Linked DNA regions of Xenopus tropicalis. Each later gene encodes a partner of the first gene's protein in a complex. Links are inferred from orthologs where the notes say so. Each region holds a gene or a part of one and is shown in the gene's direction. Other genes may lie near its edges. The genes, in order: matrix metalloproteinase-18 and timp-1.

Region 1 (15,347 bases):
TCAGTTCTTACATTCATTGCTTTAACCAATAATTCATGCTTGGGACCTGCAGCTCCAGCAAGTAGGCAAGTGAGGGAAGGAGTACCTGGGGCTCCATGCAGAGAGGACTCTTTTCCCCATCACTTTGGTGCCTTAGAGCTTAACTACACGGGAGATTTTGTAGGATCATGTCACATTGACAGAACACCTACAAGTCGGATACAGTTGCGCAGGTCAAAAAATAATGGGACTGATAGGGAAATCTGATGTGTAAATTATATGGAAGCTTTTCTATCCAACGCAACACGCCTGTGGGAAGGGAATGCTGCGTCTGCATCCGACAAGATAAAACCTGATGGTGACAGAAAGACTTTTTCTTCTCACTGAAACACGTTGACTGTCAGATGTAGATGCAGGAACACAACTCCCACCTAGTAATCCAAATTACTTTACAGCAGGGGGGATCGGATTTTGTTGGAACCTTGTGCTATTGCATGACAAGATTTTGTGGGTCAGGTAAAGCCTGACCCGCAAAATGTAGGAGAGGATAGCCCTCTGTTCCTGGGAAGCCTTCATGCTCCGAGCTGTGACAAAAAAGAATCTGCAAATAGGGAGGGTGGGCAGGAGGCTTCCCCTGCCTGTAAAATTCCAAAGTTGCTTCATTTCCCGTAAGGTTCTGTCCCCCACCCATCTCCCAATCTGTGAGTAGCCCCTGCCCATACCCAAGTGTCGCCCCTTGCTAGTCTAGTCAAGGACCCTCCTCCCACACATCTCAACCAGCAGCGCCCCATTAGCTATACACAATAAACAAAATATTTCAATGCAAAATTTTTTCTGAATATGCATGTTATATATATATACTGTGGCAAATATGTGCCATATGTTTCAGATTATAAATTATGAAATTCATTTAGTCTCATATTTAACATGGTGACTGCATGGTAACGGCCATTAAAGGAGCAGAACCAGGAAATGAGAGTCCTATAAAGGTTTTTATATAAATAGCATTGCCTATTTTGTTCTATTTTTTGTATCCTGTTAATTTTGAAAACTTTCTTGAACAAGCATAATATCCAAGACTATTGTGATATTAAAATCTACAGTTAGTATTGATGTTGGTATATATGGTTTATGTATGTGAGTGTATAGATTGGTAGGTGTGGGTCTGTATGTAAGTGGATAGATAGGTCAGTATGGGTCTGTATGTGAGTGTATAGATAGGTCAGTGTGGGTCTGTATGTGAGTGTATAGATAGGTCAGTGTGGGTCTGTATGTGAGTGGATAGATAGGTCAGTATGGGTCTGTATGCGAGTGGATAGATAGGTCAGTATGGGTCTGTATGCGAGTGGATAGATAGGTCAGTATGGGTCTGTATGTGAGTGGATAGATAGGTCAGTGTGGGTCTGTATGTGAGTGTATAGATAGGTCAGTATGGGTCTGTATGTGAGTGGATAGATAGGTCAGTATGGGTCTGTATGCGAGTGGATAGATAGGTCAGTATGGGTCTGTATGTGAGTGTATAGATAGGTCAGTGTGGGTCTGTATGTGAGTCTATAGATAGGTCAGTGTGGGTCTGTATGTGAGTGGATAGATAGGTCAGTGTGGGTCTGTATGTGAGTGGATAGATAGGTCAGTGTGGGTCTGTATGTGAGTGGATAGATAGGTCAGTATGGGTCTGTATGTGAGTGGATAGAAAGGTCAGTGTGGGTCTGTATGTGAGTGGATAGATAGGTCAGTGTGGGTCTGTATGTGAGTGGATAGATAGGTCAGTATGGGTCTGTATGTGAGTGGATAGATAGGTCAGTGTGGGTCTGTATGTGAGTGGATAGATAGGTCAGTATGGGTCTGTATGTGAGTGGATAAATAGGTCAGTATGGGTCTGTATGTGAGTGGATAGATAGGTCAGTATGGGTCTGTATGTGAGTGTATAGATAGGTCAGTGTGGGTCTGTATGTGAGTGGATAGATAGGTCAGTGTGGGTCTGTATGTGAGTGGATAGATAGGTCAGTATGGGTCTGTATGTGAGTGGATAGATAGGTCAGTATGGGTCTGTATGTGAGTGGATAGATAGGTCAGTGTGGGTCTGTATGTGAGTGGATAGGTCAGTGTGGGTCTGTATGTGAGTGGATAGATAGGTCAGTGTGGGTCTGTATGTGAGTGGATAGATAGGTCAGTGTGGGTCTGTATGTGAGTGGATAGATAGGTCAGTGTGGGTCTGTATGTGAGTGGATAGATAAGTCAGTGTGGGTCTGTATGTGAGTGGATAGATAGGTCAGTGTGGGTCTGTATGTGAGTGGATAGATAGGTCAGTGTGGGTCTGTATGTGAGTGGATAGATAGGTCAGTGTGGGTCTGTATGTGAGTGGATAGATAGGTCAGTATGGGTCTGTATGTGAGTGTATAGATAGGTCAGTGTGGGTCTGTATGTGAGTGGATAGATAGGTCAGTATGGGTCTGTATGTGAGTGGATAGGTCAGTGTGGGTCTGTATGTGAGTGGATAGATAGGTCAGTATGGGTCTGTATGTGAGTGGATAGGTCAGTGTGGGTCTGTATGTGAGTGGATAGATAGGTCAGTATGGGTCTGTATGTGAGTGGATAGGTCAGTGTGGGTCTGTATGTGAGTGGATAGATAGGTCAGTGTGGGTCTGTATGTGAGTGGATAGATAGGTCAGTGTGGGTCTGTATGTGAGTGGATAGATAGGTCAGTGTGGGTCTGTATGTGAGTGGATAGATAGGTCAGTGTGGGTCTGTATGTGAGTGGATAGATAGGTCAGTGTGGGTCTGTATGTGAGTGGATAGATAGGTCAGTGTGGGTCTGTATGTGAGTGGATAGATAGGTAGGTGTGGGTTGTGGGTGCTGGGTTTACTTGGATGGGTTAAACTTGATGGGCTCTGGTCTTTTTTCAACCCTATGTAACTATGTACCGTATATACTCGAGTAAAAGCCGATCCGAATATAAGTCGAGGTACCTAATTTTACCTAAGAAAACTGGAAAAACTTATTGACTCGAGTATAAGCCTAGGGTGGGAAATGCAGCAGCTACTGCTAAGTTTTAATAATCAAAATAAATACCAATAAAATTACATTAATTGAGGCATCAGTGGGGTATATGTTTTTCAATATTTATTTCAAAGAAAAACAGTAAACTAGCTCTGTAAGCGGAGAAGAGGGTCAACAAAAACAATATGAGTACTACCCCACGCTTATTGCACATTGGCAAACTGGCAGCAGACCCGGTCCCGGAGGAGATGTAAGGGGGAATAAGTATTGCTAGTGGGAGCCTAGGCCAGGGCACTGGAGGGTCTGGTTGCGGGTGGCCTAATTTGCACACAAGGGACAGAGGGTGCTAGTCTGGAGGGACCCATCGCACATTTTGGGTGCTGAAAAACTAGGCTTATACTCGAATATATACAGTAACTATTCTTTAGAAAGCAGGATCATAATAGTGAGTAGGGTACTCTTTATCTTCTAAATCAGCCAATATTTGTATGTAATCTGTATGTTTGATATATACATCTTTCTGTAGTACAGTGCTGGGAAATATAGTGGCACTATAGAAATATGTGCTTATAGTCACGCAATAGACTGGGTGCAGTTCTGTTTAGACAACTGATACAAACTGCAGAACTGATAACAAATAAACTGCAATAAAAAATACCAGGGCTTATACTATGATCTTGATATTTGGTGTTACTGTACTATGACTAAATAATGTTTTCCTTCTGATACATCGGTTTCTATAAGGGTTGTTTTATATTAAACACTTAGGGGCTGATTTACTAATCCACAAATCCGAATCCCGAATGGGAAAAAATCGGATTGGAAACGAACATTTTGCGACTTTTTCATATTTTTTGCGTTTTTTTCGTCGCCGTCGCGACTTTTTCGTAGCCGTTAAGACGAATTGTCGTGACTTTTTCGTATTGAGCGCTAGTAAACGGCGGGCAAACCTTTCCAATTTTTTCGCGACGGCTACGAAAAAGTCGCGACAATTCGCGCAAGTCGTAACAGCTACGAAAAAGTCGCTACAATTTACGAAAAAGTCATGACAAAAAAATTGCAAAATACTGATCATTATGAAAAAAACGCATTCGGACGCTTTCAATCCGTTCGTGGATTAGTAAATCGGCCCCTCAGAGGAAATACCAGTGAAAATTTCAATAAGATCCATTAAAATAAATAAAATGAAAGTAATACCACTGGATCCAGTTATTTCTTGGAGTCTTTATAACATATCTGCTGCTGCAGCCTTGATGATTATAAATACAAATCCCATAATTGCAGAAAGGCTGAGCTGTATATGAGCTGAGGATGATTGACAGGAGAATATGGATATCTCCATAGGCTATCTCTATAGGTTTAATAGACATAACATAAGTTGTCCCCCTTTCTACTCAAAACATGCTTTATTAATCATGCAGGGATGTTGCACAATGGTGGGGTTTACTCTGTGTATTCGTGTCACAACTTGCTGGCAGTTTAAAAAAAAAAAACATGCTTTTACATGGAATTAACGGAAGCTGTAAAGGATGAATCATGTTGCTCAGGCTGGCCAAGGCACCCAGGTATCATATAAATAGGCATGTTCAACACATGGAAAGTCAGAGCAAGGTTGGAAGCTTAACCTTTGAGGCAATAAGCTCCAAGAAACAGCTACTTAGCCACGAGCAGCAATGAGGTCCTGGATTGTGTTCCTGCTGTGTATAGCATGTTGCACGGCATTCCCTGCTAGGACCCAGACAGACATAGATAACAAAGATGGACAGATTGCTGAGGTGAGCAGATTGGTTTGCTTATATGTATTATTTATTCTATCTCTGTATCTATCTATCTATCAATCATCTATCTATTCTGTCTACCTGTCTGTCTGTCTATCTATTCTATCTCTGTGTCTGTCTATCCTCTATCTATCTATCTATCTATCATCTATCTATCTATCATCTATCTATCCATAGACAGTCAGTTAGTTATCCTAATAATTGGTCTTCATTTAAGTATTTCTCTATATCTACAATCTATCCATCTATCTATCTGTATATCAATCTATCTATATTTACAAGTTTTTTTCTATCTATTTATCCTCTATATATATTATATATCTATTCTGTCTGTGTTTATATATATATATATATATATATATATTTATATTTATCTATTCTATGTATTCTGTCTCTGTATCAATTTCTTTTTTCCCATTTAATTATCTACCATCTAACTATCCAACTATCTATCTATGTATTTATCTAATATGTTGTTGTCTGGCTTTACATACAATGTGCAGTACTTTGGATTTGATGATAAGTAAGTTAGGATAAATGTGGGCAGAAATACAGTCCTATTGGAATGTGCAGTGTGTAAATGTTTTGGTAGCCTCAGGGCAAGTCACTGTTCATGACGCAAGCAAAACTTTCAACTCCAGAACACAAGCATTCAGAGCATTAAGAGCAATTAGAATGAAAGGAACATTTGGGTTTAAACAACTAATTATTTGAAATCTTATTTGGATGCTCTAGGCATAGGGAACTGATTATTTTGAAGTATAGAAAGTTCCGCCTAGTATAGGTAATAAGAGCCATTCTGGCTGGCTGGACATTAACACAAGAAGTAATAATAACAAACAGTACAGGCTACTGGGATAATACTCCCAAAGAGAACCTTATGTTTCTTGCAGCTGGATGTTTAACTGAACCCGTTCCATTACATCTTTACAGGAGTTCTTGAAAAAATTCTTCAACCTTCAGACAAATGGGATCCGCCAGTCAAGAAAGAAGGGCAGCAATGCATTCTCCGAGAAAATCCGTGAGATGCAGGACTTCTATGGTTTGGAGGTCACTGGAACACTGGATCAGGAAACCATAGATGTGATGCAACAACCTCGGTGTGGGATTTCTGACGTCGGCAATTTTGCGACCTTCCCTGGAAACCCTGTTTGGAAGAAGAAAGATCTGACATACAGGTACACAATGTGCCCCTTAAACATCACAACTGTTACTGTGAAGCCAAATTGAATCCTACTTTCCTACGTTGCTGCCAACTACTTAGTGAATTTTACCTCTTCCCATGTTTTATATGGTTGAAAAATGTTATATTTGATGAAAAGGCTTTAATGCCTAAATCTCCATCCTTTCTCCCAAAAAGAAGCAGTTCTGTTCCACTTCGTGGCTGAAATTCTAGCTATTTTCATACCAAAGCATTGAAACCGTGTTTGATTTAACAAAGGCAGCTTTCATTTCATGACATACTATGGAATTATAATTACGTTATTCATTGAATCACACTTTCCCCACAGAATACTAAACTACACCCCAGATATGCCCAAAGATGAGGTGGACCGGGCCATTCAGAAGGCTTTCAAGGTCTGGAGTGATGTTACCCCACTTACCTTTACTAGAATCCTTGATGGTGTCGCTGATATTGATATCTCATTTGCAGCTCAAGGTACCTGACTTTTTTTTATAAATTATTATGTAATGTATTGTACAGTGTATGTAATTTCTCCTTACAAATATCAATTTCTTAATATTCTTTCTCTACAGTTCATAATGATTTTTATCCTTTTGATGGCCCATATGGTACCCTGGCCCATGCATTCGCTCCTGGAAACAACATTGGAGGGGATGCACATTTTGACGAAGATGAGAACTGGACTAGTGGATCAGTTGGTAGGTTCTTATACACTCCCTAAAACTGGTGTTGGTAATAATCAATAGATCGTTAGAAAGATGATAGATAGATAGATGAAAATAAACCAGTCAATATGCTTAATGTTCACTTTCACTTTTTCTGAAGGTTTCAACTTGTTCCTTGTGGCTGCTCACGAGTTTGGCCATTCCCTTGGGCTCTACCATTCTAATGACCCTAATGCCCTTATGTACCCAACCTACCATTACGTCGATACCAATACATACCAGCTGCCTCAGGATGACATCAATGGAATCCAGTCACTGTATGGTAAGTAACAATTACTTGTGAATCCTGACTGTTTAATATTTCAGAGCGAGGTAAAACAAGTAATGGTTAAACCCTTTACTCACCCATCTTTTTGGAATGAGGTTGTAAACCAAAGCTTTGGAATAACGATTAGCACTGATGATTAAAATGCAGCTAAGCAGCAATCATAGCAGCAATCGTAGGTCCTATCAGTGACGACGCAGTAGAAGTAGAGAATTGAGGAAGAAGATATTTTTTCTATAACTTCTTCAGAAAAATCTTAGAACTTACATTTTCTATAGAAACATGCTGCATTGTATATGCCATATATGCTTTAGAAAAACAACCTCAATACCGGAGATGTTTACACAGTATCTAAATAAATCCCATGACTTCTTTTGATTGACAGGAGCAAGTGAAAAGCCCGCTAAACCATCAACACCAATCAACCCAACAACATGCCCCCCAAACATAACATTTGATGCTATAACAACACTGCGTGGAGAAATCTTGTTCTTTAAACACAGGTAAAATTGCATTTTGTTTCTTGGATGGTAAATGTTATGTTTGATTTCCAGAAAAATTCCAGAAATACAATTTATTTTTGTTATTTAGATCCTTCTGGCGCAAGATCCCCAATAAATCAGAGATTGAGCAGCATGAGATCAGAACTTTCTGGAAAACCCTTCCCACCGGAATTCAGGCAGCCTATGAAAATCAGGAAAAGGATCAAGTTTTTCTCTTTAAAGGTACATCATTTTATACTTTTTTTCACTGATATTCTATCCAGACCTTGCATTCTTCATCTACTTCATTATAGGGCAGCTACTGAAATAACTAGGGAAAGCTCAGTCACCAATAACAATGAGGTTGCTTGTTAACTGCACATTATTGTTTGATTTTATGGGTTACTAGACCAAATTGTACCTTCCAATAAGACCGTATGGTCTTAATAAGGTCTCGTACCTCAGGGACCAAACTGGCTTTTCCTAGCCTTGTTATACTGCAGACCTGTCCCATCTGTCCTACCAGACCCTGTTTCTTGTCTCCCTTGCTTGGCTATACATTGGCCATACATGGCCTGCCTTACCAATATCCAATAGCTGAGAATCAGTCAGATATCTATCAGACATTGGGCGAGAACTCCAGTTTGATATGATTCTCATCTGTCTGGTCACTGTAGACCTTCTGTATGATCCAAAGCTCACCAAGCTAGTGAATCTTGTATGTATGGTGTATGTATGACCATTTTTAGCCTTCAGTTGTTAATACAATTATGCTGGACGTTTAAGGGTATGTTAATAATTAAAAACATCTCCTTCTATTTACCTAGGAACCAAATACTGGGCTCTTAAAGGCTTCGACATTGAGGAGGGATTCCCTAAGAGCATCTACCAACTTGGGTTTCCCCAGACTGTAAAGAAAATCGATGCAGCTGTTCATGTTGAAGAAACAAGGAAAACCTACTTCTTTGTGAATAATCAGTATTGGAGGTAAAAGCACTAACATTTATTAAAATATAAAACTCTAAAAAAAAATGACTTAGGGAGATCTCCCATATTAAGACATAGACATGCATTTATTTAAATGTAAGTCAGTAACTGCTGTAAAACTTTCTGAAGGAAGTTATACACAGGACATCTAGCACTAAATTATTTGCTCTGCTGAAGGTTTGTTTTGAGCTGAAGGGGGAGGAAGCTATTAGTAATGAGCAGGTTGACCCAAAACCCATGGAACCCATGAGCTTACTCACTCGTTGAGTTGGGTTCACACAAAGATGGTGAGACCCACGTGCAGGTTTGGGCAGGGTGGCAGGTGAAACCTCAAGCAAGGCTCCTCTCTTTTGGTGATGCAATAGTGCCTACCCCTTCCCTGTTGTGGCTGACCTTGCCAATAAACATTGGTTGGAAAGTAGCAAGTTAGGGCTGGGCTTGAGTTGAAAATTATTGGCCATCTCATCACTGAAATCTATGGTACCCTTCACCCCTAGATCTGCTGATGCCTCAGCCATGAGCTAAGAAGGGACATCATCAGTCTGTCCACATACAAAGTTGCCTGTCCAAACTAAACTTTGAAGTGGCCAAGCCTATATGAAGGTTGGACAGTAAGGTCAAACTGACCAAACTGCGTGACCAGTCCTGTTTATTCATGGCTTTGCAATAGGCATCAATTCATAAGAGACCAATCCTGGGCATTTATGGCTGCCTTGCAATAGATTCCATAAAGAGACAAAGCCTTTGTAACCAATAATTATTCCCCTATAGCTATGATGAAAGAAGATCACAAATGGATAAAGACTCTCCTCAGAGCATCATTAATGGATTCCCAGGTGTCGGAAACAAGGTGCAAGCAGTTTTCCAATCAAATGGTGAGTAGACCCATTCACTTTCATTGTTACATAACATATAACTACATCAGCCAATAAACCATAGATGTTTTGTGTCTTGGTAAAGACCATAAAACTGAATTTTCTTAGCAGGAATATTTAATATGTTTATACGTTTATTGTTTAATTCATATATGATTAAAAGAGAACTTAAGCTCAATTAAGAATAAGGCTGGAAATTCTACACCCTATGTTTTGGGCTCCCTTAACAGCCCATCCCAATGCAAGGCTGATTGGTCATTAATTGAGATTCACATTATAGAGCATTACAGAAACTAGTGCATGAATGAAACTGATGAATAACCAGCCCAGTAGCATCCGCTACACATGTAACTTTCTGTTAATGTTTTGATGATCCCTAAACTGAGCTTCTCAACAGCAGTACAGAGCACACTGAGCATGTGCAGAGCCAATGACACTCAAAAAATGGCCTAATAGGATTAGGAGGTGGGAAGCTGTTGTGGACAGCTTTAAGCATGGAGCATTACAGTTTAAGCTAGCTATAAAGTTCAGTATATGAACATATCTAGCCATACCCTCTCTTAGGCTTTAGTTCTCTTATTATTCTAAGATTTGGAGCCTGAATAGGTTCTAGTGTTGATATTGTTAGCATATAATAAACATCTGGAGCTATCAGAAGAATTGCACTACATATATATATATATATATATATAAATTATTAGAAACAGAGTTTATTGATCCATCTGGTTTAGTTATAAATCAATGCAGTACATAAGCTCTAGTTATCCCTGAATTTATTTTTCCTAATGTTATATTTCAGGAAATCTCTATTTCTTCAATGGCAATCGGCAGTATGAATTCAGCATAGCCAATAAGAGGGTCTTGCGCCTGCTTAAATACACCAGTTGGTTGAACTGCTAATCCAGAGGCCCCAGCAGCAACACGAGCACCCAACTGAACAAGAAGCACCTTATTTTCTTTTCACATTTAACTTAAATTTTTAATTTATATAAACATTTTTGTGGTTGTTGTGTTATTATATTATACTGTCTACATTTTTGGTATGTATGTTTGATATTAAGTATATTAAATTTATTCATTTTTCAAATAGATTTTTTACTTCTTTTGTGAACATGCATTTGGCTTAAAGAGAAAATTTTGTGCCAGACATTAATATCTATAGACAGCAGTGGGGTAACTATAGAGGAAGCAGACCCCACGGTTGCTGGAGGGGGCCCGGGGGACAGGAGGGCCTACCTGCCAGTAAGGAGGGGGCAGGATGGAGACATAAGCAGGGGTGGGGAGGTGAGAGATTGGGGTATGGATCACTGGATTGTAAGCTCTAAGGGGCAGGGACCTCCTTCCTACTGTGTCTCATACCACATGGCACTTATTCCCTGTGTATTTATATATATATTATATATATATATATATATATATATATATATATATATATATATATATATATATATATATATATTGTATTTATTTATTATATCACTTGTCCTCCCTCTGTGTAATTTTGTAAGACTGTACAGCACTGCGTACCCTTGTGGCACTTTATGAAAAAGTTATACATACATACATACATACATACATACTGTGTTTGCCGGGGGGCCCAATGCATGCTAGTTACACCGCTGATAGTGTTACTTTTAGTTATAAATAGTCACACTGAGGAGTTCTGTGACCATATAAAAATAGGAGGCCACAACTCCACCTTCCTACATTGTAATTAGTGTTGACTTATTCTACTATTATTGTATTTCTCATTAGGCACCCGAATGCCCATAGAGAATCCCACGAGGCACCATCTTCCTTTACTTCAGTGCAGCAATAACATAAGAAAAGGCATCGGCCTCTATTGTGTCACTAAGGAATGATGTCTTCCTGCATTGTAGAATGTAGACATATGGGATATGGATAAATATTAATAATAATGATAAACAATACACATCTTATATATAATAGTGAGTTCTTCACTTACACAAGGGAAGCAAGTATAGTCACTCAAAAATCGAGAACCCCAGTTTGTGGTCTATAAGCCTTGGCGTTTGCAGAAAAAGATTTACTGAGCTCTTCAATCATGAGAGAGCCGCATGTTTAGGGTAAAGATGGAGATGAATCAGCCTTTGGTGCTGCCATTGTAACACCCAAAATGGTGCGGTGCCACCTATATGTGCCTGCTATGGCATGAACAGGGCAGAAGTGATGTTCTAAATGCCAAAGTTCCTGTATTTCCTTGTATCTCTCTTTCATTAATACCATGTGCAGAAAACCTGCTATGATATTCCATGAGGTGACAAAAGGATGAAGGTTTAACTAGGACATTTTTAAAAATGTTATCTGTGAATGCCCATACCTGGTACATTCGTATATGAGGATGTAAAGTGGAGCCACACCTCCTTGCCACTCTCTGCCATTACAGTTATTCAGCCATTACCATCATTCAGTCTGTCAACCCAAATACACAGAACAATAGAATTGTAACCATACCATGTACGGCCAATCATATTCATTTTGCCTGTGGGATTATTAACTGGATACAATACAAGATAGGCCAGTGTATGGCCACCATAAAGTAGCCACTTGCCATTATAAAGACAGAACCACAGTAATCTGTATTTGGCACACACAGCCACATCTCATTTGACTGAATCCGAAAAAACAAGTTTTACCCGTACATCTTTCAGCTATAAAAAGTCTCTTTGTTCCTAACAATTCATTAAATATAGGACAACATTTAGGTAGGTTGGAGCAATTTTAGATTTTAATCCTAACTAGAAGTTAAAACAAACACAGATCATGTTAGTCGTGACCCTTGAGAATATATAGGCCAAAAATGTGTCATTTTTAGATAAAGGGCCATTTCCAGTAAAACTGTGCTTAGTACGGCACCTTCTTGCGCAGGTTGGGAGAAAACACAAGCAGATTCATGCAAGTCCTTTGGATGGAATTTGACAGCTTATGCCCCCAAAGATTTCATATCCTGTCCAATGAACATCAGATCACACCCACTGGCTTCTTCTAACGGCATTATAAACACAATAGATTTAATGTGGGAGTAGCTTACAGGGGGCTTTATTTGGCAGTAAATCTTGTTTTTATTCAACCAAAACTTGCCCCCAAGTCAGGAATTCAAAAATAACTCCCGGGTTTGGGGGCACTGAGAGCAACACCCAAGGGGTTGGGGAGCAACATGTTACCCCTGAGCCACTGGTTGGGGATCACTGCCCAAAATGAAGGTGTAGTGTCCCTTTAATCCATAAACATCAATGTATTTAAGCAGAAACTGAATATGAAAAACCTGCCTAATTTGGACATGTCGATAAATAGTTCTGTCTGCTGGAAAATGTCTTTTGGTAAAGGATATGGGGGTGACAACAACAGTTGTGGTGTGGTGGGGTGAAGCACTAGTGATGAGCACATTTTTTCACCAGGCTTGGATTCTCAGCGAATTTCCGCATTTTGCCATTGGCAAATAGTTTCGCAGAACTTCAGAGAAAATCTGCCGCAAAACAATTTGTTGCGTATCAAAAAAAAAAAATCGCGGCAAGGTCAAATTAGGCATGGGGTCACAGCAAAAAAAATTGCATCCGACTAATGTGTTTCACAGATTTTTCGCCATATCGCGAATTTCCCTAGCGTTTCACGAATTTTTTCGGTGAACCGAAATGGGACAGATTCGCTCATCACTATTCTATAATAATACTAATACTGCAACATAAAAACAAAACACCAGATAGATATAGTTTTAAAGACAGATAGCTTGATGATAGATAATAAATAAATAGATAGATGATAGATAGATAGATGATAGATTGATAGACAGGCAGACAGATAGATGATAGATAGATAGATACATTGATAGAAAGACAGATATATAGATAAATAAAGATAGATAAATAGATGGTAGATAGATAGATAGATAGATAGATAGATAGATAGATAGATAGATAAATAGATGATAGAGAGATAGATAGATAGATTCATACATACATAGATACATAAATAGAAAGTAGAACCCAAGCTACACATTTCTCTCTGTCTATTTTCTGTCTTATTTCTCCTATTATGTTTGTCATTTCTTTCACTAAACCTTCCTGCCTGTTGCAGCTGCTCTTGAACAATTTTCAACACACTCCAGAGAAATCTGCCCGGTCAACAAAACCTGCTGGGGAACAGGCTGTGCTTTCAATCCCACTAACCCAGTAGCTGATGCAGGTGTAATACTGTTGAATAGAAAACACATAAATAAAATGATTATGACTACTCTCAACCACTTAATAAAAATGTCACATTGGCTGCCCTCGGGATAGGGGTAGAGTCTTGCAGTTTCTTGGATTGATTACTCCACCAGTGGGGACTCTTGTCCTAATCTGTCCCCAGAAGACAGCAATGTTAAACTCATATCAACCGAAGGTGTGTAAGGGCCCTGGCCCCAGATACCCTGCATGAGTTGCTACTTTCCATTGAAAATTTCCTTTGGCAGCTGTCTCCTACTAAACTGTCATGCAATATAATCTGACAATTTGCTTAAGTCTCATTACTTTTTCTCCATAATTTTTTACTGGATTTTTTTCTACAAATATTTACCTAACCTAATACTAAAGTCATTCCATTTTCCACTTTTTATTGAATTAAATACAAATGTAGCACTTGATTCCTTTAGAAAGATCTGAGAGTTAGCTTCAGTTGGTTACAAAAGAAAAACAATCCAACCATAAACACTGGCTGCCCCACACGTATCTTCATCTTTGCGCTTGTGTCGGGGACCCCAGGCCTTTAGGACCTTGAAGTTGGGACCTAGGAGGAACCTTGAAAGCGAAGAACAGGTCATGGTCTAATACCATGGTGTCCATGGGGTTTAAAGACTTAGAAAACCGTGTCTTAGATGCTCTTTTATTTGGAATTTGGCACCATGCTATAGTACAATGACTAATAGACTGTAAGCTCTATAGGGGAAGGACCTCATCCCAAATGTGTACTGAAACTCCTAACGCTAAAATATTTATTTACTAATTTATTATAAATGTGCCCCATTTGTGTTTATTCCTTATAACCTGCATTAAGGAATAAACTGCACTTAAGGGCAAATGCCCATACCTGATGCACTCTTACCTTCCAATTTGTGCCTGTATATTACCCAACCACTTAGATTGTAAGCTCTACAGGGCAGGGACCTCCTTCCTACTGTGTCTCATGCCACATGGCACTTACTCCCTGTGCATTTATATATATTTATTGTATTTATTATAACACTTGTCCTCCCTGTGTGTAATTTTGTATTTTGTAAGACTGTACAGCGCTGCGTACCCTTGTGGCACTTTATAAATAAAGTTATACATACATATATACATACATCTGTGGTGCTATAAAAAGACATTAATATAATATACAGGTATGGGATCCCTTATCCGGAAACCCGATATCCAGAAAGCTCTGAATTACGGAAAGCCTGTCTCCTATAGACCCCATTTTAATCAAATAATTCAGATTTTTAAAACTAATTTCCTTTTTCTCTGTGAAAATAAAACAGGGCCTTGTATTTGATGCCAACTAAGATATAATTAATCTGTACTGGATGTAAAATAATCCTATTGGGTTTAATTAATGTTTTATTGATTTCTTAGTAGATTTAAGGTATGAAGATCCAAATTACGGAAAGATCCCTTATCCGGAATACCCTTGGTCCCGAGCATTCTGGATAACAGGTCCTATACCTGTACTATTAGTAGCCTAGACTTTGAATTTTAGAAAGGTATCAGAAGCATTAAACACATAATTCTTTATGGGTGTTAACTCATTCTGTGATGGGATAAAGCAAATGAGTCAATATAATTAAATGAGTGGGCTCCGTTATCATCTCAAATAAACATGAGTAAGAAATGGGATGTTTAGAGACCGTAGCTTTATTAGCGAGAAGTCTGGATTGGGAAATAGCCTCAGTAATGCCTGTAACTTGCTATGCACAATGTCACCTTCTGGGACACGAAGAAGGAAGATTTGGGTTAAGATGTTACATTTTCCATCTACTCTTTAAACAAGTGGGATGTAGTCTGAGCCCCTGAGGAACCAAACCAATAGAGA
Region 2 (14,884 bases), on another chromosome or scaffold:
ATAAAAATGGGAAAAAGGGGCATATAAATGGGAAAAGGGGGCATATAAATGGGAAACAGGCATATAAATGGGAAACAAGGGGATATTATTGGGAAACAGGGCATATAAATGGGAAACAGGGGCATATAAATGGGAAAAGGGGGCATATAAATGGGAAACAGGGGCATATAAATGGGAAACAGGGGCATATAAATGGGAAACAAGGGGATATTATTGGGAAACAGGGCATATAAATTGGAAACAAGGGCATATAAATGGGAAACAGGGGCATATAAATGGGAAACACGGGGATATTATTGGGAAACAGGGCATATAAATGGGAAACAAGGGGATAATATTGCGAAACAGGGCATATAAATGGGAAACAAGGGGATATAAATGGGAAACAGGGGCATATAAATGGGAAACAAGGGGATATAAATGGGAAACAGGGGCATATAAATGGGAAACAAGGGGCATATAAATGGGAAACAAGGGGATATAAATGGGAAACAGGGGCATATAAATGGGAAACAAGGGGATATAATTGGGAAACAGGGGCATATAAATGGGAAACAAGGGGATATAATTGGGAAACAGGGGCATATAAATGGGGAAAAGGGGCATATAAATGGGAAACAAGGAAATATAATTGGGAAACAGGGGCATATAAATGGGGAAAAGGGGCATATAAATGGGAAACAAGGAAATATAATTGGGAAACAGGGGCATATAAATGGGGAAAAGGGGCATATAAATGGGAAACAAGGAAATATAATTGGGAAACAGGGGCATATAAATGGGGAAAGGGGGCATATAAATGGGAAACAAGGAAATATAATTGGGAAACAGGGGCATATCAATGGGGAAAAGGGGCATATAAATGGGAAACAAGGAAATATAATTGGGAAACAGGGGCATATGAATGGGAAACGGGAATATAATGGAAGAAGGGAATATAAATGAGAAGAAGGGAATATAGATGGGAAAATATAAATGGGAAACTGGGGAATATAAATGGGAAACAGGGGCATATAAATGGAAATCAGGGGCATATAAATGGGAAACAAGGAAATATAATTGGGAAACAGGGGCATATAAATTGGAAACGGGAATATAATGGAAGAAGGGAATATAAATGAGAAGAAGGGAATATAGATGGGAAACTGGGGAATATAAATGGGAAACAGGGGCATATAAATGGGAAACAAGGGCATATAAATGGGAAACAAGGGCATATAAATGGGAAACAGGGGCATATAAATGGGGAAAAGGGGCATATAAATGGGAAACAGGGGCATATAAATGGGAAACAAGGGCATATAAATGGGAAACAAGGGCATATAAATGGGAAACAGGGGCATATAAATGGGGAAAAGGGGCATATAAATGGGAAACAGGGGCATATAAATGGGAAACAAGGGCATATAAATGGGAAACAAGGGCATATAAATGGGAAACAGGGGCATATAAATGGGGAAAAGGGGCATATAAATGGGAAACAGGGGCATATAAATGGGAAACAAGGGCATATAAATAGGAAACGGGCATATAAATGGGAAACAAGGGCATATAAATGGGAAACAGGGGCATATAAATGGGAAACAGGGCATATAAATGGGAAACAGGGCATATAAATGGGAAACAAGGGCATATAAATGGGAAACAAGGGCATATAAATGGGAAACGGGCATATAAATGGGAAACAAGGGCATATAAATGGGAAACAGGGCATATAAATGGGAAACAGGGCATATAAATGGGAAACAGGGCATATAAATGGGAAACGGGAATATAATGGAAGAAGGGAATATAGATGGGAAACTGGGGAATATAAATGGAAAGGGGGGATATAAATGGAAAGGGGGGATATAAATGGAAAGGGGGGATATAAATGGCAAGATGGGAACATAAATAAATAGAGAATGACAGAAATGGGGAGATTGGGGATAAATGGCAGTCGAGTTGCGTCACGGTTAATGGTTTCCCCGATGGCAAATCTCATTATAATTCCCAGCCACTTCCCTTTCTTCATGTTTTGAAATCTCTGAGTAATAAAGACAGACCCTGGGCCCTGAGCCAATCACATCACGGCAGGGAGGGGCTGCGAGGAGCTTTAAATTCCAGAGCCGCACAGACAATGATGTACTTGTGAGAGACACAGACGGACTGACTGCCCTGCCATCAGGTACGCAGATGCTTTCAACTTGCGCCAAAAGCTAGCAATCTACCCTGCCTGCTCCCTTACTTGCACTAAGAGCTAGCAATCTACCCTGCCTGCTCCCTTACTTGCACTAAGAGCTAACAATCTACCCTGCCTGCTCCCTTACTTGCACTAAGAGCTAACAATCTACCCTGCCTGCTCCCTTACTTGCACTAAGAGCTAGCAATCTACCCTCCCTGCTCCCTTACTTGCACTAAGAGCTAACAATCTACCCTGCCTGCTCCCTTACTTGCACTAAGAGCTAACAATCTACCCTCCCTGCTCCCTTACTTGCACTAAGAGCTAGCAATCTACCCTCCCTGCTCCCTTACTTGCACTAAGAGCTAACAATCTACCCTCCCTGCTCCCTTACTTGCACTAAGAGCTAACAATCTACCCTCCCTGCTCCCTTACTTGCACTAAGAGCTAACAATCTACCCTCCCTGCTCCCTTACTTGCACTAAGAGCTAGCAATCTACCCTCCCTGCTCCCTTACTTGTACTAAGAGCTAGCAATCTACCCTCCCTGCTCCCTTACTTGCACTAAGAGCTAGCAATCTACCCTCCCTGCTCCCTTACTTGCACTAAGAGCTAACAATCTACCCTCCCTGCTCCCTTACTTGCACTAAGAGCTAACAATCTACCCTCCCTGCTCCCTTACTTGCACTAAGAGCTAACAATCTACCCTCCCTGCTCCCTTACTTGCACTAAGAGCTAACAATCTACCCTCCCTGCTCCCTTACTTGCACTAAGAGCTAACAATCTACCCTCCCTGCTCCCTTACTTGCACCAAGAGCTAACAATCTATCCCCTCCCTGCTCCCTTACTTGCACCAAGAGCTAACAATCTACCCTGCCTGCTCCCTTACTTGCACCAAGAGCTAACAATCTATCCCCTCCCTGCTCCCTTACATGCACCAAGAGCTAACAATCTATCCCCTCCCTGCTCCCTTACTTGCACCAAGAGCTAACAATCTATCCCCTCCCTGCTTCCTTAGAACACACCTGCTTGTACCCCTTAACAGCTAAAATAGCTCTCATTGCCCCCCTCTGCAGACAGCCTGACTCCCTAGCTGGGGGGGCGGGGAAGCCAAATACAGCGCCATCTCACCCCTCCCTCCCTACTCATTCTGCCCCTCTCCCCCTGCTGCTGCCTGTTTACCCCCCACACCTCTAACTCCTCTCTTTCCTCCTGCAGTTTGATATCATGTTGGGCCTTGTGGTTCTGCTGGTTCTGGGGTGCCTCAGCCAGGGGGTGTGGGGGTGCAGCTGTGGACAAAGGCACCCCCAGTCTGCATACTGCAACGCAGATTTTGGTGAGTGTTCTCATACAAATGTTTGTTTTGGGGGGGGGGGTATGTGGAGAAAGGGCTCACAGCACCCCCTACTTTCCGTATGGGCTCCCATTCTAACTAATGGTATAATAGGGGCAGTGGGGCAACTGATGGTTACTGAGTGATTTCCAGCTCATGGGGTGGGGGCAACTAAACCCTAAATTGCCGGAACCCAGGAGTCACATGACTGTGGCTTAAAAATGTCGTAATCAGCAATTTCCTGCCCCTGCGGGGGGTAAAAAGTCTGCAAGCAGGGCACAAGCTGATATCAATGCAAGGCTACGGGGGGAGGATTTGGGGGCCCTGAAAGTGCCCAGTGTGCCACAGCCCCAAACATATATTTCTGAACTGGGGCAGAACGTATGCACTGTTGCTATGGGACAGGACCAGAAGCAACTAGATGGAACTTTATATTCCAGTTATATGTGTTAATGTGACTGTTCGGTTATACTTGCCCTTTAAAAACAACATTATTCACAGGGGGGGGGGGAGAATGATAATAGGGGTATGGCAGCAAGTGCAGGGAGACCCCCAGGCTCAGGTAGTAGGTGGGCTACAAGGGGGGGAGGGGGTGACTGCTCAGTGTGTGGGTGCTGAGAGACAGACAGAATGTGACAGCTACGTGTGAGCCCCCGGGCTGGGCGAGAGTGCACTCACATCACTGTGCCGAGTTCATTCTCACCCCCACGTGCAAACTGGTTTGGGCACAGGATTCCCCCTGGTAGCCCCCCGGCCAGTAAGTCAGGCACACGTGGCACTAGTGCCTCTATTCTGCCCCAATACCCAGTAACTACCCCCGGGCGGCTCTCTCGCACCGTCTGTGCCAGTTTCACATTGGGCAACAACAGGAAGCCGGGCAGTTATTTATAGATTAGGGAAACGCACCAGGAATTCCCGTCTTATAATAAACGTCTCTGAGCTGGGCGGGGCTATGTACAAAGATGATTCTCCATTGGCTCGTCCCGCTCACCCCCCTGTCTCTGCGCAGTTATCCGGGCGAGATTCATCGGCAAAACCCAGCAGAAGGCGGAAGAACCGGGCAGAGTGACGTATGAGGTCAAAACTACTAAGGTAAGTGCCCCCCCCCCCCCCCCCCCCACTTCCCTGTTACTGCTGCCCCTGCACCCCCCCACTAACACTTTCCCCTTTTCTATAGATCTTCAAGGCCCCCGACGGAATGGACGACATCCAGTTCCTGAGCACCCCGGCAATGGAGAGTCTGTGCGGCTACGAGCACAAAATGTCCAACAAGAGCCAGGCCTTCCTCATCACAGGTGAGAGCTCTGCCCCGCTCTCTAACACCCAAGCACTATACTGTGAGGGCTGTGGCACAGGGAGGAAGGGAATGGGGCAGCAGAAGGGGATGGGGGGATAGGGGTTCCTCATCACAGGTGAGAGCTCTGCCCCGCTCTCTAACACCCAAGCACTATACTGTGAGGGCTGTGGCACAGGGAGGAAGGGAATGGGGCAGCAGAAGGGGATGGGGGGATAGGGGTTCCTCATCACAGGTAAGAGCTCTGCCCCGCTCTCTAACACCCAAGCACTATACTGTGAGGGCTGTGGCACAGGGAGGAAGGGAATGGGGCAGTAGAAGGGGACGGGGGGTAGGTGTTCCTCATCACAGGTGAGAGCTCTGCCCCGCTCTCTAACACCCAAGCACTATGCTGTAAGGGCTGTGGCACAGGGAGGAAGGGAATGGGGCAGCAGAAGGGGATGGGGGGGATAGGTGTTCCTCATCACAGGTAAGAGCTCTGCCCCGCTCTCTAACACCCAAGCACTATGCTGTAAGGGCTGTGGCACAGGGAGGAAGGGAATGGGGCAGCAGAAGGGGATGGGGGGGTAGGTGTTCCTCATCACAGGTAAGAGCTCTGCCCCGCTCTCTAACACCCAAGCACCATGCTGTAAGGGCTGTGGCACAGGGAGGAAGAGGATGGGGCAGAAGGGGGAACAGTTAGTGGGTGATTGGCAGCTGCAGTGAAGAGAATGCCCCATGTGCCCTGCTGGGGTTGGTATCAATCCCCTGCCCCCCTCAAGTATCAACCCCGCCTCTCTACCAACACGCCCCCTGATGCCAATCTCTTTATTGCCCCTGCCCAGGGCACGTGATGAACGGTAACCTGCAAATCGACCAGTGCAACTTCATCGTTCCTTGGGCCTCACTATCGGTCGCCCAGAGGAAGGGCTTCCAGGAGGTCTATCCCAAGTCCTGTTCCTGCAGTGTGAGTAGCCGTGGGGCAAGTTACCCCTCCCAATCCTGTCTTGCCCCCACCCGGACCCTCTCTTTATTCACTGACCAGCCCATATTATATTGTGCCCTCCAATAGGGGTGAGCCTCCCCCCATAACCCCCCTGTGTCTTGCCATGCAGTTTCCCATTCTGTTTGCTGACCTATATAGCTGCTCCCCCTAGTGCCCAGGACTGGTACTGCAGTAGCCATGAGATCCCTATTGCCCCCATTAGAGTGGGTCACTAGGGGAGGATTTCTATTGGCCGATAATAACTGGGCCCTTCTCTCCTCCCCCTACAGATTGGGCCCTGCTACAGTGGTACCTGCCCCCCCCTAGTGCCCAGGACTGGTACTGCAGTAGCTATGAGATCCCTATTGCCCCCATTAGAGTGGGTCGCTGGGGGAGGATTTCTATTGGCCGATAGTAATTGGGCACTTCTCTCCCCCCCCTACAGATTGTGCCCTGCTACAGTGGTACCTGCCCCCCCTAGTGCCCAGGACTGGTACTGCAGTAGCTATGAGATCCCTATTGCCCCCATTAGAGTGGGTCACTAGGGGAGGATTTCCATTGGCTGATAGTAACTGGGCATTTCTCTCCCCCCCCCTACAGATTGTGCCCTGCTACAGTGGTACCTGCCCCCCCTAGTGCCCAGGACTGGTACTGCAGTAGCTATGAGATCCCTATTGCCCCCATTAGAGTGGGTCACTAGGGGAGGATTTCCATTGGCTGATAGTAACTGGGCATTTCTCTCCCCCCCCCTACAGATTGTGCCCTGCTACAGTGGTACCTGCTCCCCCTAGTGCCCAGGACTGGTACTGCAGTAGCTATGAGATCCCTATTGCCCCCATTAGAGTGGGTCACTAGGGGAGGATTTCCATTGGCTGATAGTAACTGGGCACTTCTCTCCTCCCCCTACAGATTGTGCCCTGCTACAGCGGTACCTGCCCCCCCCTAGTGCCCAGGACTGGTACTGCAGTAGCCATGAGATCCCTATTGCCCCCATTAGAGTGGGTCACTAGGGGAGGATTTCCATTGGCTGATAGTAACTGGGCATTTCTTTCCCCCCCCTACAGATTGTGCCCTGCTACAGTGGTACCTGCTCCCCCTAGTGCCCAGGACTGGTACTGCAGTAGCCATGAGATCCCTATTGCCCCCATTAGAGTGGGTCACTAGGGGAGGATTTCCATTGGCTGATAGTAACTGGGCATTTCTTTCCCCCCCCTACAGATTGTGCCCTGCTACAGTGGTACCTGCTCCCCCTAGTGCCCAGGACTGGTACTGCAGTAGCTATGAGATCCCTATTGCCCCCATTAGAGTGGGTCGCTAGGGGAGGATTTCTATTGGCTGATAGTAACTGGGCATTTCTTTCCCCCCCCTACAGATTGTGCCCTGCTACAGTGGTACCTGCTCCCTGGAGTCCGACAACCAGTGCCTTTGGACCGACGTACTGGTGAACTGGATGGAGCCCCTGAATGGGTCCCAGTCCAAGTACATGGCGTGTGTGGACCAGGGCAGCGGTTTGTGCTCGTGGGAGTCCCAGAAACCCAGCGCCATCGCTGCCCGGAATAAGGCGGCAGCGTCGGGTTCCGCAGCAGAATAACCTGGGGGGGGGGGTGCTTCGTGGGGGATAATGGGAGGGGCCACTTTAAGGGGGAGGAGTTGGTTTGTACATTTGAGTGCACGTCCCCTTTGTACCGGGGGAAATAAATGTCTTTTTATGGTTTTTGTACAATGTCTCCAGCATCTGCATATCCTTACTCTATACACACGGGGGTCCCGAATACTGGGTACCCCCAAAGCCTCCCCCCATCTACCTGAGTGCTCCCCGTGCCCCATGTGTGCTGCCCAGCAGGGGATTTGAGGGCACATTCCATGGCATAGAGAGTATGGGGGCGGGGCTACCCAGGGGGGCGGGGCTACCCAGAGGGCTACTCAGGTCACAGCACAGGCAGCTAATTCCCAGGGAAATGACTCCCAGCCGCCGCCGCCCCGTGACTCACCATCTCCTTATGGTTGGGGTAATAAGTCTGTTCTATGAGAGGGAAGTCGTCCGGCCCCAACTTCCTGTGTAACCGCACCAACTGGGAGAACTGGAAAGAGAAGGAAACGGATCAGAACTCGGGATAACTGCCCCCTCCCCCATACAGAAATGGATCAGTACCCGGGATCCCCCCCCCCCCCTCCCCCATACAGAAACGGATCAGTACCCGGGATCCCCCCCCCCCCTCCCCCATACAGAAACGGATCAGTACCCGGGATCCCTCCCCCCCTCCCCCATACAGAAATGGATCAGTACCCGGGATCCCTCCCCCCCTCCCCCATACAGAAATGGATCAGTACCCGGGATCCCTCCCCCCCCCCCATACAGAAATGGATCAGTACCCAGGATCCCTCCCCCCTCCCCCATACAGAAATGGATCAGTACCCAGGATCCCTCCCCCCCTCCCCCATACAGAAACGGATCAGTACCCGGGATCCCTCCCCCCCTCCCCCATACAGAAATGGATCAGTACCCAGGATCCCTCCCCCCTCCCCCATACAGAAATGGATCAGTACCCAGGATCCCTCCCCCCCTCCCCCATACAGAAATGGATCAGTACCCAGGATCCCTCCCCCCTCCCCCATACAGAAATGGATCAGTACCCGGGATCCCTCCCCCCTCCCTCCCCCATACAGAAATGGATCAGTACCCAGGATCCCTCCCCCCCTCCCCCATACAGAAATGGATCAGTACCCAGGATCCCTCCCTCCCCCCCTCCCAATACAGAAATGGATCAGTACCAAAGGTTCTGGGCACTATTACACCCACGCTGGGCATTCTGGGCACTATTATACCCACGCTGGGTATTCTGGGCACAATTATACCCACGCTGGGCATTCTGGGCACTATTATACCCACGCTGGGTATTCTGGGCACAATTATACCCACGCTGGGAATTCTGGGCACTATTATAAAGACGCTGGGCATTCTGGGCACTATTATACCCACATTGGGAATTCTGGGCACTATTATACAGACGCTGGGTATTCTGGGCACTATTATACCCACGCTGGGCATTCTGGGCACTATTATACCCACGCTGGGCATTCTGGGCACTATTATACCCACGCTGGGCATTTTGGGCACTATTATACCCACGCTGGGCATTCTGGGCACTATCATACCCACGCTGGGCATTCTGGGCACTATTATACCCATGCCGGGCATTCTGGGCACTACCCACGCTGGGCATTCTGGGCACTATTATACCCACGCTGGGCATTCTGGGCACTATTATACCCATGCTGGGCATTCTGGGCACTATTATACCCACACTGGGCATTCTGGGCACTATTATACCCACGCTGGGCATTTTGGGCATTATTATACCCACGCTGGGTGTTCTGGGCACTATTATACCCACGCTGGGCATTCTGGGCACTATTATACCCACGCTGGGCATTCTGAGCACTATTATACCCACGCTGGGCATTCTGGGCACTATTATACCCACGCTGGGCTTTCTGGGCACTATTATACCCACGCTGGGCATTCTGGGCACTATTATACCCACGCTGGGCGTTCTGGGCACTATTATACCCATGCTGGGTGTTCTGGGCACTATTATACCCACGCTGGGCATTCTGGGCACTATTATACCCACGCTGGGCTTTCTGGGCACTATTATACCCACGCTGGGCATTCTGGGCACTATTATACCCACGCTGGGATTTCTGGGCACTATTATACCCACGCTGGGATTTCTGGGCACTATTATACCCACGCTGGGCTTTCTGGGCACTTTTACCCACGCTGGGCATTCTAGGCACTATTATACCCATGCTGGGCATTCTGGGCACTACCCACGCTGGGCATTCTGGGGACAACCTATGCTGGGCATTCTGGGCACTATTATACCCACGCTGGGCATTCTGGGCACTATTATACCCATGCTGGGTGTTCTGGGCACTATTATACCCATGCTGGGCATTCTGGGCACTATTATACCCATGCTGGGCATACTGGGCACTATTATACCAACGCTGGGCAATCTGGCCACTACCCATGCTGGGCATTCTGGGCACTATTATTATACCGACGCTGGGCATTCTGGGCACTACCCATGCTGGGCATTCTGGGCACTATTATTATACCCACGCTGGGATTTCTGGGCACTATTATACCCACGCTGGGCATTCTGGACAATATTATACCCACGCTGGGTGTTCTGGGCACTATTATACCCACGCTGGGAATTCTGGGCAATATTATATCCACGCTGGGTGTTCTGGGCACTATTATACCCACGCTGGGTGTTCTGGGTACTATTATACTCCCGCTGGGTGTTTTGGGCACTATTATACCAACGCTGGGTGTTCTGGGAACTATTATACCCACGCTGGGCATTCTGGGCACTATTATACCCACGCTAGGTGTTCTGGGCAATATTATACCCACGCTGGGTGTTCTGGGCACTATTATAACCACGCTGGGTGTTCTGGGCACAATTATAACCACGCTGGGTGTTCTGGGCACTATTATAACCACGCTGGGCATTCTGGGCACTATTATAACCACGCTGGGCATTCTGGGCACTATTATACCCACGCTGGGCATTCTGGGCACTATTATACCCATGCTGGGCATTCTGGGCACTATTATTATACCCACGCTGGGCATTCTGGGCACTATTATACCCATGCTGGGCATTCTGGGCAATATTGTACCCACGCTGGGTGTTCTGGGCACTATTATACCCACGCTGGGCATTCTGGGCACTATTATACCCACGCTGGGTGTCATGATATAGGCCTGTAAGGGTTAATCAAGCAGGCCAAGGTATCCCAAAATCTTCCAGAAATGTGCCAGAAAGAGATATATAACAGGCCTCTGGTCACTGGGTCTGGAACCAGCCATGTGTAAAGGCCTCACAACCTGGAATGCCCAACTCTAATCCCCGGCTGATAAGGGCCATGCCATGTGGGGGAGGGAATGCCCAACTCTAATCCTCGACTGATAAGAGCCATGCCATGTGGGGGAGTGAAAGCCCAACTCTAATCCCTGTCTGATAAGGGCCATGCCATGTGGGGGAGGGAATGCCCAACTCTAATCCCTGGCTGATAAGAGCCATGCTATGTGGGGGAGGGAATGCCCAACTCTAATCCCCGGCTGATAAGAGTCATGCCATGTGGGGGAGTGAATGCCCAACTCTAATCCCTGGCTGATAAGGGCCATGCTATATGGGGGAGTGAATGCCCAACTCTAATCCCTGGCTGATAAGAGCCATGCCATGTGGGGGAGGGAATGCCCAACTCTAATCCCTGTCTGATAAGAGCCATGCCATGTGGGGGAGTGAATGCCCAACTCTAATCCCCAGCTGATAAGGGCCATGCCATGTGGGGGAGTGAATGCCCAACTCTAATCCCCGGCTGATAAGAGCCATGCCATGTGGGGGAGGGAATGCCCAACTCTAATCCCTGGCTGATAAGAGCCATGCCATGTGGGGGAGTGAATGCCCAACTCTAATCCCTGGCTAATAAGGGCCATGCCATGTGGGGGAGTGAATGCCCAACTCTAATCCCTGGCTAATAAGGGCCATTCCATGTGGGGGAGTGAATGCCCAACTCTAATCCCCGGCTGATAAGAGCCATGCCATGTGGGGGAGGGAATGCCCAACTCTAATCCCTGTCTGATAAGAGCCATGCCATGTGGGGGAGTGAATGCCCAACTCTAATCCCCGGCTGATATAAGACATGCCATGTGGGGGAGGGAATGCCCAACTCTAATCCCTGGCTGATAAGAGCCATGCCATGTGGGGGACGGAATGCCCAACTCTAATCCCCGTCTGATAAGAGCCATGCAATGTGGGGGAGTGAAAGCCCAACTCTAATCCCTGTCTCATAAGAGCCATGCCATGTGGGGGAGTGAATGCCCAACTCTAATCCCCGGCTGATAAGAGCCATGCCATGTGGGGGAGTGAATGCCCAACTCTAATCCCTGGCTGATAAGGGCCATGCCATGTGGGGGAGTGAATGCCCAACTCTAATCCCTGGCTGATAAGAGCCATGCCATGTGGGGGAGGGAATGCCCAACTCTAATCCCTGTCTGATAAGAGCCATGTCATGTGGGGGAGTAAATGCCCAACTCTAATCCCTGGCTGATAAGGGCCATTCCATGTGGGGGAGTGAATGCCCAACTCTAATCCCTGGCTGATAAGAGCCATGCCATGTGGGGGAGGGAATGCCCAACTCTAATCCCTGGCTGATAAGGGCCATGCCATGTGGGGGAAGGAATGCCCAACTCTAATCCCTGGCTGATAAGGGCCATGCCATGTGGGGGAGGGAATGCCCAACTCTAATCCCTGTCTGATAAGAGCCATGCCATGTGGGGGAGTGAATGCCCAACTCTAATCCCCGGCTGATAAGGGCCATGCCATGTGGGGGAGTGAATGCCCATCTCTAATCCCCGGCTGATAAGAGCCATGCCATGTGGGGGAGGGAATGCCAAACTCTAATCCCTGGCTGATAAGAGCCATGCCATGTGGGGGAGTGAATGCCCAACTCTAATCCCTGGCTGATAAGGGCTATGGCATGTGGGGGAGTGAATGCCCAACTCTAATCCCCGGCTGATAAGAGCCATGCCATGTGGGGGAGGGAATGCCCAACTCTAATCCCTGGCTGATAAGGGCCATGCCATGTGGGGGAGTGAATGCCCAACTCTAATCCCCGGCTGATAAGAGCCATGCCATGTGGGGGAGGGAATGCCCAACTCTAATCCCTGGCTGATAAGAGCCATGCCATGTGGGGGAGTGAATGCCCAACTCTAATCCCTGGCTGATAAGGGCTATGGCATGTGGGGGAGTGAATGCCCAACTCTAATCCCCAGCTGATAAGAGCCATGCCATGTGGGGGAGGGAATGCCCAACTCTAATCCCTGGCTGATAAGAGCCATGCCATGTGGGGGAGTGAATGCCCAACTCTAATCCCTGGCTGATAAGAGCCATGCCATGTGGAGGAGTGAATGCCCAACTCTAATCCCTGGCAGATAAGGGCCATTCCATGTGGGGGAGTGAATGCCCAACTCTAATCCCTGGCTGATAAGAGCCATGCCATGTGGGTGAGGGAATGCCCAACTCTAATCCCCGTCTGATAAGGGCCATGCCATGTGGGTAGTGAATGCCCAACTCTAATCCCCGGCTGATAAGAGCCATGCCATGTGGGGGAGTGAATGCCCAACTCTAATCCCTGGCTGATAAGGGCCATGCCATGTGGGTAGTGAATGCCCAACTCTAATCCCCGGCTGATAAGAGCCATGCCATGTGGGGGAGGGAATGCCCAACTCTAATCCCCGGCTGATAAGAGCCATGCCATGTGGGGGAGTGAATGCCCAACTCTAATCCCTGGCTGATAAGAGCCATGCCATGTGGGGGAGTGAATGCCCAACTCTAATCCCTGGCTGATAAGGGCTATGGCATGTGGGGGAGTGAATGCCCAACTCTAATCCCCAGCTGATAAGAGCCATGCCATGTGGGGGAGTGAATGCCCAACTCTAATCCCTGGCTGATAAGGGCTATGGCATGTGGGGGAGTGAATGCCCAACTCTAATCCCTGGCTGATAAGGGCCATTCCATGTGGGGGAGTGAATGCCCAACTCTAATCCCTGGCTGATAAGAGCCATGCCATGTGGGGGAGGGAATGCCCAACTCTAATCCCTGGCTGATAAGGGCCATGCCATGTGGGGGAAGGAATGCCCAACTCTAATCCCTGGCTGATAAGGGCCATGCCATGTGGGGGAGGGAATGCCCAACTCTAATCCCTGTCTGATAAGAGTCATGCCATGTGGGGGAGTGAATGCCCAACTCTAATCCCTGGCTGATGAGGGCCATTCCATGTGGGGGAATGAATGCCCAACTCTAATCCCTGGCTGATATAAGACATGCCATGTGGGGGAGGGAATGCCCAACTCTAATCCCTGTCTGATAAGAGTCATGCCATGTGGGGGAGTGAATGCCCAACTCTAATCCCTGGCTGATAAGGGCCATTCCATGTGGGGGAATGAATGCCCAACTCTAAACCCTGTCTGATAAGAGCCATGCCATGTGGGGGAGGGAATACCCAACTCTAATCCCTGTCTGATAAGAGCCATGCCATGTGGGGGAGTAAATGCCCAACTCTAATCCCTGGCTGATAAGGGCCATTCCATGTGGGGGAGTGAATGCCCAACTCTAATCCCTGGCTGATAAGAGCCATGCCATGTGGGGGAGGGAATGCCCAACTCTAATCCCTGGCTGATAAGGGCCATGCCATGTGGGGAAAGGAATGCCCAACTCTAATCCCTGGCTGATAAGGGCCATGCCATGTGGGGGAGGGAATGCCCAACTCTAATCCCTGTCTGATAAGAGTCATGCCATGTGGGGGAGTGAATGCCCAACTCTAATCCCTGGCTGATGAGGGCCATTCCATGTGGGGGAATGAATGCCCAACTCTAATCCCTGGCTGATATAAGACATGCCATGTGGGGGAGGGAATGCCCAACTCTAATCCCTGTCTGATAAGAGTCATGCCATGTGGGGGAGTGAATGCCCAACTCTAATCCCTGGCTGATAAGGGCCATTCCATGTGGGGGAATGAATGCCCAACTCTAATCTCTGGCTGATAAGAGCCATGCCATGTGGGGGAGGGAATACCCAACTCTAATCCCTGGCTGATAAGAGCCATGCCATGTGGGGGAGGGAATGCCCAACTCTAAACCCTGGCTGATAAGAGCCATGCCATGTGGGGGAGGGAATGCCCAACTCTAATCCCCGGCTGATAAGAGCCATGCCATGTGGGGGAGGGAATGCCCAACTCTAATCCCCGGCTGATAAGGGCCATGCCATGTGGGGGAGGGAATGCCCAACTCTAATCCCCGTCTGATAAGAGCCATGCCATGTGGGGGAGGGAATGCCCAACTCTAATCCCTGGCTGATAAGAGCCATGCCATGTGGGGGAGTGAATGCCCAACTGTAATCCCTGGCTGATAAGGGCCATGCCATGTGGGGGAGTGAAAGCCCTACTCTAATCCCTGGCTGATAAGGGCCATGCCACGTGGGGGAGTGAAAGCCCTACTCTAATCCCTGGCTGATAAGGGCCATGCCACGTGGGGGAGTGAAAGCCCTACTCT

Evidence for each region.
Region 2: the proteins of matrix metalloproteinase-18 (region 1) and timp-1 are in contact, whole or in part, in a crystal structure (PDB 1UEA), measured with the Homo sapiens proteins. The link is inferred for Xenopus tropicalis from reciprocal best matches to the Homo sapiens genes MMP3 and TIMP1. Residues at the interface, in NP_002413.1 of Homo sapiens: Phe100, Thr102, Phe103, Phe171, Tyr172, Gly178, Asn179, Val180, Leu181, Ala182, His183, Ala184, Tyr185, Ala186, Thr207, Thr208, Gly209, Thr210, Val215, His218, Glu219, His222, Phe227, His228, Tyr237, Pro238, Leu239, Tyr240, His241, Ser242; in NP_003245.1 of Homo sapiens: Cys24, Thr25, Cys26, Val27, Pro28, Pro29, Val52, Thr56, Leu57, Tyr58, Pro87, Ala88, Met89, Glu90, Ser91, Val92, Cys93, Thr121, Cys122, Leu156, Ser157, Pro159, Gln173, Leu174, Gly177, Glu179.

The regions. Positions count from the first base shown.
Region 1 is NC_030678.2:161,715,869-161,731,215, forward strand, and holds matrix metalloproteinase-18, read left to right. Parts: upstream 1-4,573; 5' UTR 4,574-4,653; coding exon 4,654-4,755; intron 4,756-5,691; coding exon 5,692-5,936; intron 5,937-6,269; coding exon 6,270-6,418; intron 6,419-6,516; coding exon 6,517-6,642; intron 6,643-6,769; coding exon 6,770-6,931; intron 6,932-7,319; coding exon 7,320-7,437; intron 7,438-7,525; coding exon 7,526-7,659; intron 7,660-8,243; coding exon 8,244-8,403; intron 8,404-9,174; coding exon 9,175-9,278; intron 9,279-10,077; coding exon 10,078-10,178; 3' UTR 10,179-10,369; downstream 10,370-15,347. UniProt on the Homo sapiens protein: Metalloproteinase with a rather broad substrate specificity that can degrade fibronectin, laminin, gelatins of type I, III, IV, and V; collagens III, IV, X, and IX, and cartilage proteoglycans.
Region 2 is NC_030684.2:1,435,605-1,450,488, reverse strand, and holds timp-1 (uncharacterized protein LOC100135142 precursor), read left to right. Parts: upstream 1-2,138; 5' UTR 2,139-2,167; intron 2,168-3,378; 5' UTR 3,379-3,387; coding exon 3,388-3,496; intron 3,497-4,502; coding exon 4,503-4,585; intron 4,586-4,670; coding exon 4,671-4,788; intron 4,789-5,611; coding exon 5,612-5,733; intron 5,734-7,123; coding exon 7,124-7,342; 3' UTR 7,343-7,471; downstream 7,472-14,884. Other genes in the region: syn1 (synapsin-1), read right to left, coding at 7,743-7,832. UniProt on the Homo sapiens protein: Metalloproteinase inhibitor that functions by forming one to one complexes with target metalloproteinases, such as collagenases, and irreversibly inactivates them by binding to their catalytic zinc cofactor.